Linked DNA regions of Arabidopsis thaliana. Each later gene encodes a partner of the first gene's protein in a complex. Each region holds a gene or a part of one and is shown in the gene's direction. Other genes may lie near its edges. The genes, in order: LSM2, LSM3A and LSM1B.

Region 1 (3,788 bases):
ATTTGAGACTTCTTCTTCGTTGATTGTTTTCCTATTGAAATTAACAAGGGCTTCCCTGAGTCTACTCACAGACCACGAGAGCAATACCAAACTCAAACTCATTGCACCCTCGAAGAATTGGTTTGCGCAAAAGGGTACCTGCCTGGAAGCAACATTACAAACGAGAAAGAAGAGCACAGCCATACCAGTGCCAGCAAAGCCAATTGAACACTGAGTCAAAAGCTCGAAGAGTTCTCCACGTGATTTCTTTAGAGATAGCATTGTGGTTTTTCTATGTTGTTCATTGCCTATCATCAGAGAGAGAAGGCTCTCACACGCATGAAGACGGTTTCGTTCGTAGAGGTCATATTCCTTATCTCTTATCTTCGGATTTTGTTTCTTTGGTGAAGGCTTGAGCCTGGTTTTCTTCGGACTGTTGGAAATCGAAAGAAACGTTTTTTAAAGATGCAAAAGTACCAAAAACTAGTTGATGATATTAGATACCTCTTTGGAGGAGCTAGTGTAACTGCGTCCTCGGGTAGCTGCAGAGTGTCTATTGGTACTTCACTGTCGAATCTGCAGAATGAGAGGAGAGCAAAAACTTAATGTTAAACCCAAAAGGATGAGACTCATAGGTATGAATCAAACTTGCAGTGAAGAATTAACTACCGCTGAAACTGCGGGACAAGCCGTGAGAGCTTTCTCCATCTTGTTGAGTTCCTTAATCTATGAAACTCAGCTGCCGTAGAGACCAAATCATTCAATTCAGCTCTGCTACTTGAGAACAGAATGTTAGCATCCACCATGAGATCCAATAACGGCTTTGCATATGGTTGCTGAGAACTTGATCTTAAAGCATCTAGACCCATCAATTCAGATAGGAGAGACAAATCGAATCCTTCTTCTTTGAGTTCTTCTTCTGATCTAGACAAAAGGAACTCTAACACCTCCTCTTTTCTTGCATACTGCTGAGTGATCCCCAAGCTTAAACACACAGGGTCTGGTCCAGTTTCTGTTAACCACAGTTCATGTCAGTCGAAAAAAGGGATTACAATTTGGTGAATTCAACTGAAATTTGATCAAAGTCACATACCATGAACATCCATGAGTCTATGCTTCATCATGGTTGAATCAAACTCCAAAAAGTGGTTAGACTTACTAAAAGAAGAAAAAGGTTTCAATGGCTCCAAGAGTTGTGATTTCAGGTTAAAGGAGCTCTCCGGTAATATCTCATATTTTCTTCCTCCAGGATTCACCAGATAAGCCCGGCTTGTCTGAATCATTCATAGACATAAGAACCAAACAAGGAGAAGACAGAACCAGGACAAGAATTCAACGAGAGATTCTAAACCCAAGTGTTTTAAAACAGAGAAAGTAAAAAACTGACCTTGATGATCTCGTTGCTTCTTAGCTCTTGAAGGAGACTAAACCTAAGTGTTGAATAGCTATGAGAAGCCATTGAGAAAAAACTGACTTCTTATTTTTTTTTCTCTTCTTCGTCACAAAACCATGGAAACAAAACGAAAAAGCTTATCGTCAGCAATCTCGCCTATATATGCGTCAGATATTATAAGATTTGTGTAAATCTTTTCTTTATTCAGTTTTGGCTGGTGACCAAAACACACTTTGAGTTTTTAAATATTTACCCTTTGAGGCACTTATTACTTAAATTACCAAGAACATACCCAATCTTTTCAATAATTACATAAATATACCTTTGGTTTCTTATATTCTCGAAATTAACCCAAAGATCATTAGGGTACATACATTCTTTACTCGAGAGAGAGAAGTTCTAAAGTCCTCAAATCCCGCAAAGCTTTTTCAGCTTCTTTGTTGAATTGCGAGCAGAGGTAGAAATCAGCAGGAAACAAAAATGGTAAATTTGAATGCTTTCTTCATCTTCATGAACTTGATTGTTGGCAGTTGTTTTGTTTGACCTAGAAAAGGTTTCTTCTTTCTTCGTAATTATTCATGGGTTTACTCTTTTTTAGCCAATGGTTCTAGGGTTCTTGGAGATTTCGAGTTTATGGTTTTCGATGATGATTTAGGGTTTCTCGTGATGGGTTTTGATTGTGTTTGTTCTCTGGTGCAGTTGTTCTTTTCTTACTTCAAGGATTTGGTTGGACAAGAAGTGACGGTTGAGCTGAAGAATGATTTAGCCATAAGAGGAACTCTTCACTCAGTTGATCAGTATCTGAATATCAAGCTCGAGAACACTAGGGTTGTTGACCAGGACAAGTACCCTCACATGGTAAATTTTCTTTCTTTTAAGCGATTTCTCTAAGAATTGGGAATTTAGGGTTTATTGGAGCAGCCTATTGTTTTTTTTTTGTTCACATAGGCAATATTTTCTTTGTTGTGTGTGCTTGAAGTGCTCTTAAGTGTTTGACATTATACTGGAATTGATCTCACTCGCTAGTTTCTTGCTATACTTCTTTGTCTCGTATTGTAAAATATCACTTATGAACTGATTGAAAGCTTAATCCTTGGCTCTTGCAAATGTGTTTAAGCCTTCACTCTTTTCTTTTTCCTTGCTTTCATTTACTGTGACCAAGCTTGAGAAGCTCTAACGTGATATTGATTAGATTTACAGACGCAAAGGGATGATTTGAAGTGATTAGTGGTTCTGGTTCACATATTTGATTGAGATTGCTGCTTTTGTACTGCAATTTGTCAAGTCTACTCAGGATTACAAAAGATTTGCAATATGTTTGCATGACCAATTTCAATGCATTTAGGTTTTATGGCGTTTATATTGTTATATCTTTGGCACTGTATTTCTTTATCTTGTCAGTGTCACACTTTAGAAACCTTGTCAAATAGTACAATTTCGCTAGAATCCTCCCGAAGATGTTTTTAGCTGACGGATTTGTGTGTTTGTTCTGTGTAGCTTTCAGTGAGAAACTGTTTCATCAGAGGATCTGTGGTAAGGTACGTGCAGTTACCTAAAGATGGAGTCGATGTTGATTTGCTTCACGACGCAGCTAGAAGAGAAGCTAGGGGTGGCTGATTCTGAAATATCTTTGTATCTCCAAAACTTGAATACTTTTCATTCGGCGTAATGGCTTTATAATGAATATTTCCCTGATGTAGAGCCAATGGTATGGCCATGAATCTTGTTCCATTTTATTAACAATGGATAATTTAATTTCTTTTCCTCGTTCAAATGAAAAGCTTATTAAAGCCTACTTAGAAACACCTTCACTCTTGTCAGGCTGTCACTACTTAAGTTTTTCCCTTTCTTAGATGAAGCAAGCAGAGGAAAAACATATAGACTCAGTAAGAAGGAACTTATATAAAGTAATATGAGTTCTTGTTTGCATAGCAGCAATAGGACCTTAACTCTTGTCATTAATTTAGTTTCTTATTTCTGAGATGAAGCAAACAGAGGAAAAACATAGACTCATGAATAAAAATAGGAGTAATTTTCTGCATAGGTAGTGTAACGCTTCATAGGATTTGCATCCATGTACGGTCTGGTTTGCCAATAGGGGAAAGGACCAGCTGCAGCCATATACGGATATGCTGCAGCCATAGGCGGATATTGTGAAATGTGAACACCATCGAACATTCTGGGTCGAGGCATGGATTGGTATGGATCAATTGGACCACCACAAGGTCCACAACCACCATATGGTCCATGCATTGCCCCCATCGAAAACGGGGGATAATGGCTTCTCGAGGCTGCGGATATGGGCCACCGGTGTAAAGGATTGTGTCCACCATGGTACATCATCGGTTGAGCGGTGTAACAAGGCGGCGGCGGGTTCACACCATTTTTCTCGCTTGGCAAGTTTTTACCACCATTT
Region 2 (3,708 bases), 6.6 Mb from region 1:
AAAGCTATATACCAATCAAGAGAAGTGAAGCCAATTCCGTTATAATTCAACACCCAATTCCCTTTGTTTCAACTCCAATCCCATCCGATCATTCTCAAGTTTCATCCTTTCATTCTCCATTCTCATTCTCTCGAGTTCTTGATCCCTTTTCTTGCTAAACCTCTGCCACCTGAATCTCTGTTTCTCCAATTCCAGCAATTCAACTTGGATCTGAAGCTTCTGCTCTTCTAGCTGGAGAGTCCGCGACTCCATCCACTGCTTCTGCACCGAACCTGCTCTTCCACTCTCCGCCCCACCTTGATTCACATCAGCTTGAGAAAACGGTATTTGAGGTAAAGAGACTTTATTACACTCCAGAGAATTCACATGACTCGGATGATCTCCATCTTCATGGCTAAGGCTTGGTCTTATCTTCTTCAAAGGACCACCACCACCTCCATAATGATTTACCCTACAATCTCCATACGCATAATGTTGCTCCTCATACTCATCATGTTCATCACCATCACCATCATGATCCTCATCATCAAGATCCTCCATTTGATGTTTCCTAGAATCATCATTATCATGATCATCTCTGCTTCTAAGCGCCAACTGTAACGAACGCTGCAAAGCAAGGTCATGAGGCAAATGCAACCTATTCCCATTATGATACGAACACATCTCTTCATAAAAAAGATGTTTAGAACTCATAATCTTCCTAACATCATCCTTCTCTTTATCATTCAAGTAACCAATCGAATCCAAAAGCGCAGGATTCTCAACAACTTGACAAGATGTTCCTCTACCAAGCATATCATTAAGCTTCTTATACCGTTTATTCAAATCATTGAACTTATCCTCACATTGCTGCGGCGAAACATGATAACCTCTCTCAGCCATAACTTTAGAAACAGATTTCCACTTCCCTTTCTTCTGCAAAACAGCAAACTTTCTTCTACTACTACTATCTATACTCGAATCATCTCCTATATAAGAAACAGCAGTAATCAACAACTTCACCATCTTATCAGTCCATTTCACTCGTTGCCATGGAGATCCTTTAGTTGATCTATTAGCTTCATTATGAACACCATCACCACCTTCCTCTGTGAAACTTGGTTCATCATCATCACTCACTGAATTCTTCTCTCTTTCAGCTTTCTGTTGCTCAGACATAGACATGTTCTGATTCTGATGATGATCACAGGTTTGACCTGTAACCATAGTAAAGGGAAGACCTTCATGAAGTGGTCTAGAATTAGGATTGTGTCGATGCTGCTGATTCATGGAGTCTTGGTGATGAACTCTCATAGAACCTTGTAAATCAAATCCTCCATAAGATGAAGCTCCACTACGAACTACACCTCCTTGTGGAAAATTCCCATCCATTTTTGGATCAAATTTCTTCCTAATTCATCAGAGAAATCGAAGAGAAAACAGATCTCAAAAAGTCAAAACCTTTGTCAACAAAATTAGTACTGGATCTTAGGGGAATATTAAAGATCGAAACTTTAGGAGAGAATGAAGCAGAGAGGAATCGGGATGAAGAAAATAAAGCGGTAAATATATGAGAGATGAGTCAAAGGAAGTAAAACTCACAGAAAAAAGTTTGCTTTCGTCTTCTCCGGTCAGCTTCCTCAGGTTTCTCTTCTCTCTCTGTATATGACAAAAGGCTTTTTGATTAAAACAACCAATATAAAGATTATAGTAAATTTAGTGTAATGAAATGACCAATTGATACCTTGTGATTGGACTTAATATAGTTAAGTTCCACTAACCATGATTTATTTGCATTAGATGATTTATTATCTTCATAATACTTCGACGAAAAAAAAAAAAAGAGCTAACCATATTGGGCCGATATGAGAGCCCAAAAACATAGTAAAAGGCCGAATCGTAAGATGTTGGTTTGAAGTTTTTAGGGAACCAACGGTGGCGATTGCTTGAGCTCAGTCAGAGAGATATCGCCGAGAGCACTACAATTTCAAAACCCTCGGAGAAGTTATAATCAGAAAATGTCAGTCGAGGAAGACGCCACCGTTAGAGAGCCACTCGATCTGATTCGGTTGAGTATCGAAGAGAGGATCTATGTCAAGCTCCGATCTGACCGTGAACTCCGCGGCAAGCTTCACGTACGTTCTTAACCACTCGGATTCCAGAAACCAGTAACCAGATGTGATCTTTTTCGATTTTGAGCTCCTTTTTGAATTCCTTATTCGTTGAATTTAACACTAGTTTTTATTCTTTTCACAAATATCAAAATTTGGACCCATTTTGTTGAGTTTCAGTTTCGAAAGCCTCAGCGAGAGCTAATTGGCGTAGAAAACCTCATAATCTTGTTAAATTCTAAGACTCTCACTTTTGTTGTTGTTTTTGTGGTGTAGGCTTTTGATCAGCATTTGAATATGATTCTGGGTGATGTTGAAGAGGTTATTACGACTATAGAAATCGACGACGAGACATATGAAGAGATTGTTCGGGTATGTAATTCTCTTAGCTCAATAAGATTTATTAATCTATGTAGGCTTTAGTAGTAAGATAAACGTTTTTGGGTTCAAAATATTTCAGCTATCACAGTATCTATTGTCTATGTCTCTGTTTGAGTTTAAAGGAGAGCTTGATTCATGTAGAAGTTAATAGTGCTGGTTACATAGAGAGTGTTCATTACCAATATAGTAACTCTGTTTAGTTTCTCAAACTTGAATTTTGTTGTTTGCGCTCCAAATGTGATGTGCTAACTTCTCATTAGACTAGTGTAGAATCATATGTTCTTCTCCTGCTGATGTAACTTGCTTCTGTCAGACAACGAAGCGAACGGTACCGTTTCTATTCGTGAGAGGAGATGGAGTGATATTGGTGTCACCGCCTTTGAGGACGACCTAAATGTTCTTGTGTACTGGGATCGGAGTTAACAAATCTGGCGCTGAGTAAAAGCACTTTTTTCTGATTACTTGGCTTTTGAATTTGTAATTGTGTGGTATGTTTTTCTTTGTTGTCAAACATTGAAACCGAATGTAGCATTCGAATCTTGGTAATGGGTGCCTCGTTATAGTAGAATCAGTGTAACATACTTCGTATTGTGACTTTCTTACCGTTTACGATCGGATTTAGTTTCGTTTTCTGGTTTGGTGTAGTTTTCTCTAAAGATTTGTATACTTCCTCAAACTCATTGATTTCGAGCTCTATTATGAATAGTGATTGGTGACATATTTAGATGTGTGTAACCCTAGGAAAGACATTTTGATTAACCAAACCATCAAATTGATTCACAGTACAGGAGGCTGAAAACGCAAACAAGATTGATTTCATGAGAAAAGATTAATGTAATTGTAAGCATGTAAATTTACAGTAAAAAAAAGATTAGTGATGAAATTAAAAGTTTTGAGGTATCTATCGTAAGATATAACTTGTCATGATCACCAACACGCTTCGAGCATAGTAACAATGGAGAAGAGAAGTCTTATCTTCGTCTGGGTCTGGCTTGAACCGGAGAACCCATTGGTTGTGACTCTCTATAGTTTCTGCTTGGAGAATCAGTTGATGTTCTGGAGTAGGCAGCTTTGGCTACTGGTGGCACTGGATCCAACGGAATGGTCTCAATGAAACATGCACTGTTCAAACGGGTCTTCTCTAGCTCCAGTTGAAGCATTCCGCTTGTACATTGCTGTGCAAGAGCCTAAAGCAGCAACAGTAACAAAGCAAACCCGCTTTTAACTGAATGTGCTA
Region 3 (4,380 bases), on another chromosome or scaffold:
AGATTAGAGAACGGGCTACAAAAGTACCTTGATTTTGTAATCTGGATATTGCTCAAGACCCTTGAGAAGACAAGGGGTGGCAAGTTTAGCTATACACCGGGCAGCAGCAACCATACCACAATGAGCATAACCTAAGACCAAATTGCTGACCCCTCTTTCATTTACAACAGTATGATGGAACGGTACGATTGCTCCAGTTGCAGCAGTCAAGGTATCTTTGATGCTATGCGTTCCACGAATCAATAACAGAAAATATTTTGTATTGTGATCGACAAGAACCGTAAAAGCTGGCTTCAATATCTACATGGTGCAAAATTCAAAACTAAACTTCTCAATTTCTATGTTGAAAAAGTGCCTAAGAGTTGAGAGTTGTTAAAGTTTACCCCAGCTTTGGGTTCATGAATAAGGACATTTTCCTTTGTAAAGCCGGTCTCTTCTAAGAAAAACGGAAACGACTTCTTGGAAAAATGCCAACACAATGTCAACAAGTGCAAAAGATATTTGAGTTCAGTGGCTACTTCTGATCCTCTAAGTTCTACACTATCTTTACCACCAAAGACACGATCAACATGTAGAAGTCCCTACGGTTTTAGGTACACAATTACAAAAAGTTCAATTTTGACCACAAGATAATTAGAAAAAAATCCAGAACTTAAGACCGTTAAAACGATGAAGAGATGTTATACCTGCCTCTTGATGAGAAAATTGATCCCAAACGCAAGATCACCAATAGGCCACTTCCCAAGAGTCTCAGAGTAAGTAAAACGAAGAGTCTCAGAAAGAGTAGAAATAGTCTCCAACCAAGTTGCCGGAGCTTGAATAAGCCTATGCGAAACACGGTCAATCCTCAAAGAAGGACGAGAAGCAGAAGCTTCAGAATTCTCATCGTCAACGTCAGATGGACCAGCTATTAATTTCCGATTCAACGTGTAATATAAAAGAGCAGCTGCTCCAGCTGCTGTTGCCATAGTTGCAGTTGCCATGATCAATCTATCCCTAAAATCATCAATGAAACAAATTCGCTCAATCCAAGACGAAACTCAATCTAATAAGAATACAAAATTTAAAGACAAAATCGATTGAAACTACATTGGATGCCACAATTTCAATCTCCAGATGCGTTCTTAAGTATCTCAGACTTATTCCAGAAATCTCCAAAAACATGTAAAGCTGGAAAATTGGATATAATTTCGTACAAAGAACATTCTTTTCACCAATTAACCCCAAAGAATTCGGGATACAAAAAAAAGAAGCCATTAATAGAAAACTCTCACTTTCCTGAAACTTCTCGAATACCACAACAAACCCTACTCCTGATAACTATCGCGTCTTTTAACCGATGCAAATCATAAAATTGAATGTGATTTAGCTTAAAATTGAACAGGATCGGTGAACTATAGAAACAAAACCCTAAATCCTACCCCAAGAATAGCATCGTTAAAACACGAAGTTCTTTGTGAATCAAACCTGGAAAAATAAGACGAAATCGTGACCTTAATTTGAGGGTTTTACAGTGGAGAAGGAAGGTTAAGGTTGCTTTAGCTTATGTACGATATCTCCGGGAAGGGGAAGCTGCTTTCTCTCCGATGATGTTGTTAGCTACAAGATGCTGCAATGCAAAAGTGTGAAAACAGAATTTTTTGTTTTGCTTTAAATAAACTGCGCTACGTTTTTGTGCTAAGCGAACGCCGCGTAGTTTCGCGCCGCCGAGATCTGATGCTTACGTGGGAATATATTATTGGATGACTTACCCATAAAAGCGTTTTAACATAAATCAAGCAGTAAATAATAATAGTGTTAAATCGACTTTTTTGGTCCATAAATTAAAATTTATTCGAAACAGATATTTTATTAGCTTGGAAGATTAGTCTCATTTATTTAAGAAACATTCAGTCACAATAATTATTAGGAAATTTAACATTAAATTGGAAAGTGCTTAAAGTATTAAAGTACAACGTCTTATCTATCGAGTTAAGAAATCGTGGACATTGCTTGAAAATAATAAAAAAGGGACAGTGGACGGATTTGCTCGCTAGTTTTCTCTTCGAATTTTCCACAAACAAATTTTCTCAGCCAAAGTTCGATCGGATCTGGGTTTTATATTTTTTTGAAGAACCCGTGTCCGTCTTCGATCAGGTGTCGAAAGTCTCAATCTTTTTTAATCACTTTATCAATTTAAACCCTTTGGTCAAAACCCTAATTTAGATTTCTCTTTCCGTCTTCACTTTTTTTTTTTCCTGTCAAAGTTCGCGTTCAATAGCCAAATCTTATCTCTTCAGCTGGAATCTGACGAACATTATTATCATCGGTAGTGTTCTATAGAAAGACCGAAAGTTTTCTTCAATTTCAAAGTCAGTGGCGATGTCGTGGGCTGGTCCTGAAGAAATTTATCTTTCAACATCACTCGCTAGTTATCTCGATAGTAAATCCGTCTCTCTTTCTCTCTGTTTCACATATTTGTTGAACCGTATGAATGCATGTAGTTAAAATAATTGGCCGTGATGGCTCTGTACGCATTTGGGAGCTCAATTTTGCAAACAATTCTCTGTTTTTTTGACGTTTGATTTTGACTTCTTATTGATATATAGGCTGTACTATTTTGTGGCTGTATCCAAAGCTTGTCAATTTTGGTGTTGAATTGTCTCAAAGAGACATTCATTGATTAAGATATTGATTATTGAATCAAAGCTTTAGTTTTTTTTTAATTGGGTCAAATCTAACTGTTCATCAGTTATTGTTGTCAAGCTAAATTTTAGCATGCGTGAGAGATTAGATGTGATTGAGGTTGCTGGCTCACTCTTTATTCAACTTACGAAGTATAAACTTTAACCTTTGTTGAAATTTAATTCACTATCGGCTTTTTGATGTTGGTTCTTTGAGTTTAAAAGTCAATGATCTTCTTTTGCTGATGTTTTTGGGCTATGAGTTAGTTCTCAATCTCATTTGGCGTACCGTTTTCTTTTTTAGATATGAATCAATGTGCATCAGTTACTTATGTATGTTGGCTCTGCTCTTGATGATGCAGGAAAACTACTTGTGCTTCTTAGAGATGGTAGAAAGCTAATGGGAACACTCCGTTCCTTTGATCAATTCGGTATTCACTTTTCTTTCCATGTTTCTAGATTTACGATATTGTTGATGAGCGGGAGAGATTTGACTTTTTTTTGTTCGTTGTAAATACACAGCCAATGCGGTTCTAGAAGGTGCGTGTGAGAGGGTAATTGTTGGTGAACAATACTGTGACATTCCTTTAGGCCTCTATGTAATCCGTGGAGAGAATGTTGTTTTGATTGGTGAGCTGGTAAGACTTCTCCTTGTTTGTCTTTTCTTGCTGTGTCACCTCGTGTTTTCCAATTCACTGAGTTTGACCTTAAACTATGTATTAGGACACGGAGAGAGAAGAGCTTCCTCCACATATGATTCGCGTCTCAGAGGCAGAGATTAAAAGGGTAAGACATCGCATAACATGTTCATTTTGATTAGCCAAATTTGATTCATTTGTGATGCTGTGTGCGTGCTGATGATTTGGTTTTCGGGAATCTGTCTGTTGATGCAGGCACAAAAGGTGGAGAGGGAAGCGAGTGAGCTGAGAGGAACAATGAGGAAGAGAATGGAGTTTCTTGACTTTGATTAAACCAGATTGTATCCCCATTCATTATTGGCTTGATGCTCTGCTTTGGCTCGCAAGTTTTATGATGAGCCTTTTTGGTGTGTTGACTTAGGGGATCGACGCAATTCTTGTGTTTCATTTTGGATGAATATGACAATAAATCTGTGTACTTTTGTCTTTGGATCTATTTACCTTTTTAAGAAAAAAATGTTAAGCAATTTCTTTCTCTATTTTGGAACTTTTAAACAAGGAGCTTGCCTATGGCTACTACCAAACGGAACAAAAATGGAGCAAATGAGTAGAGGACGTCGCACATTGCAAAATTTACATGGTACTTATTGGTTCTGTGATCAATCAGGACTTTTATAAATAGAAGACATATGGCACAAACAACAACACACAAATATGTTCACCTGGAGATTATTCCACCGGGCAGGAAACCCGTGAATAAAAATTCAAAGAATGGTTCTATTTCTATGACATCCTAATGTGACTGAAAAACGAAAGAAAGAAGATAGAACTCTCGGGTTTTCGATCTTCTTTTATCGCCTCCTCAAGTGTGGTGGTGTGGTATATCCTTCGAAGAAATCTAGAACGATGGTCTCGATATCTTCAACCGAATATTTCAAATAGTTCTCAGGGTGTCTTCCACTCTCTATATGACCCCTGAACCTTCCAAGAAACGATCTATAAGCAGGGATTAGATGCTCGGATAGCGATATTCGGAGTTCTTCTCTAAGCTGAGCATCTGGAACCGACCATGTGGACTG

What was found.
Region 2: LSM2 (region 1) and LSM3A share a complex: the UniProt entries of both Arabidopsis thaliana proteins name them as parts of the heptameric LSM1-LSM7 complex.
Region 3: LSM2 (region 1) and LSM1B share a complex: the UniProt entries of both Arabidopsis thaliana proteins name them as parts of the heptameric LSM1-LSM7 complex.

Annotation. Positions count from the first base shown.
Region 1 is NC_003070.9:817,362-821,149, reverse strand, and holds LSM2 (Small nuclear ribonucleoprotein family protein), read left to right. Parts: upstream 1-1,586; 5' UTR 1,587-1,852; coding exon 1,853-1,855; intron 1,856-2,071; coding exon 2,072-2,230; intron 2,231-2,869; coding exon 2,870-2,989; 3' UTR 2,990-3,216; downstream 3,217-3,788. Other genes in the region: AT1G03340 (uncharacterized protein), read right to left, coding at 1-412, 484-555, 649-991, 1,073-1,253, 1,367-1,438; AT1G03320 (uncharacterized protein), read right to left, coding at 3,383-3,788. UniProt on the Arabidopsis thaliana protein: Component of LSM protein complexes, which are involved in RNA processing. Component of the cytoplasmic LSM1-LSM7 complex which is involved in mRNA degradation by promoting decapping and leading to accurate 5'-3' mRNA decay.
Region 2 is NC_003070.9:7,419,146-7,422,853, reverse strand, and holds LSM3A (Small nuclear ribonucleoprotein family protein), read left to right. Parts: upstream 1-1,896; 5' UTR 1,897-1,997; coding exon 1,998-2,114; intron 2,115-2,366; coding exon 2,367-2,462; intron 2,463-2,784; coding exon 2,785-2,865; 3' UTR 2,866-3,190; downstream 3,191-3,708. Other genes in the region: AT1G21200 (sequence-specific DNA binding transcription factor), read right to left, coding at 40-1,371; SEC5B (Exocyst complex component SEC5), read right to left, coding at 3,443-3,658. UniProt on the Arabidopsis thaliana protein: Component of LSM protein complexes, which are involved in RNA processing. Component of the cytoplasmic LSM1-LSM7 complex which is involved in mRNA degradation by promoting decapping and leading to accurate 5'-3' mRNA decay.
Region 3 is NC_003074.8:4,665,356-4,669,735, forward strand, and holds LSM1B (Small nuclear ribonucleoprotein family protein), read left to right. Parts: upstream 1-1,952; 5' UTR 1,953-2,136; exon of another isoform or gene 2,137-2,246; 5' UTR 2,247-2,361; coding exon 2,362-2,422; intron 2,423-2,974; exon of another isoform or gene 2,975-2,994; coding exon of another isoform or gene 2,995-3,025; coding exon 3,026-3,094; intron 3,095-3,185; coding exon 3,186-3,301; intron 3,302-3,386; coding exon 3,387-3,449; intron 3,450-3,556; coding exon 3,557-3,634; 3' UTR 3,635-3,839; downstream 3,840-4,380. Other genes in the region: AT3G14075 (Mono-/di-acylglycerol lipase, N-terminal;Lipase, class 3), read right to left, coding at 28-300, 384-581, 687-983; EXO70D3 (exocyst subunit exo70 family protein D3), read right to left, coding at 4,153-4,380. UniProt on the Arabidopsis thaliana protein: Component of the cytoplasmic LSM1-LSM7 complex which is involved in mRNA degradation by promoting decapping and leading to accurate 5'-3' mRNA decay.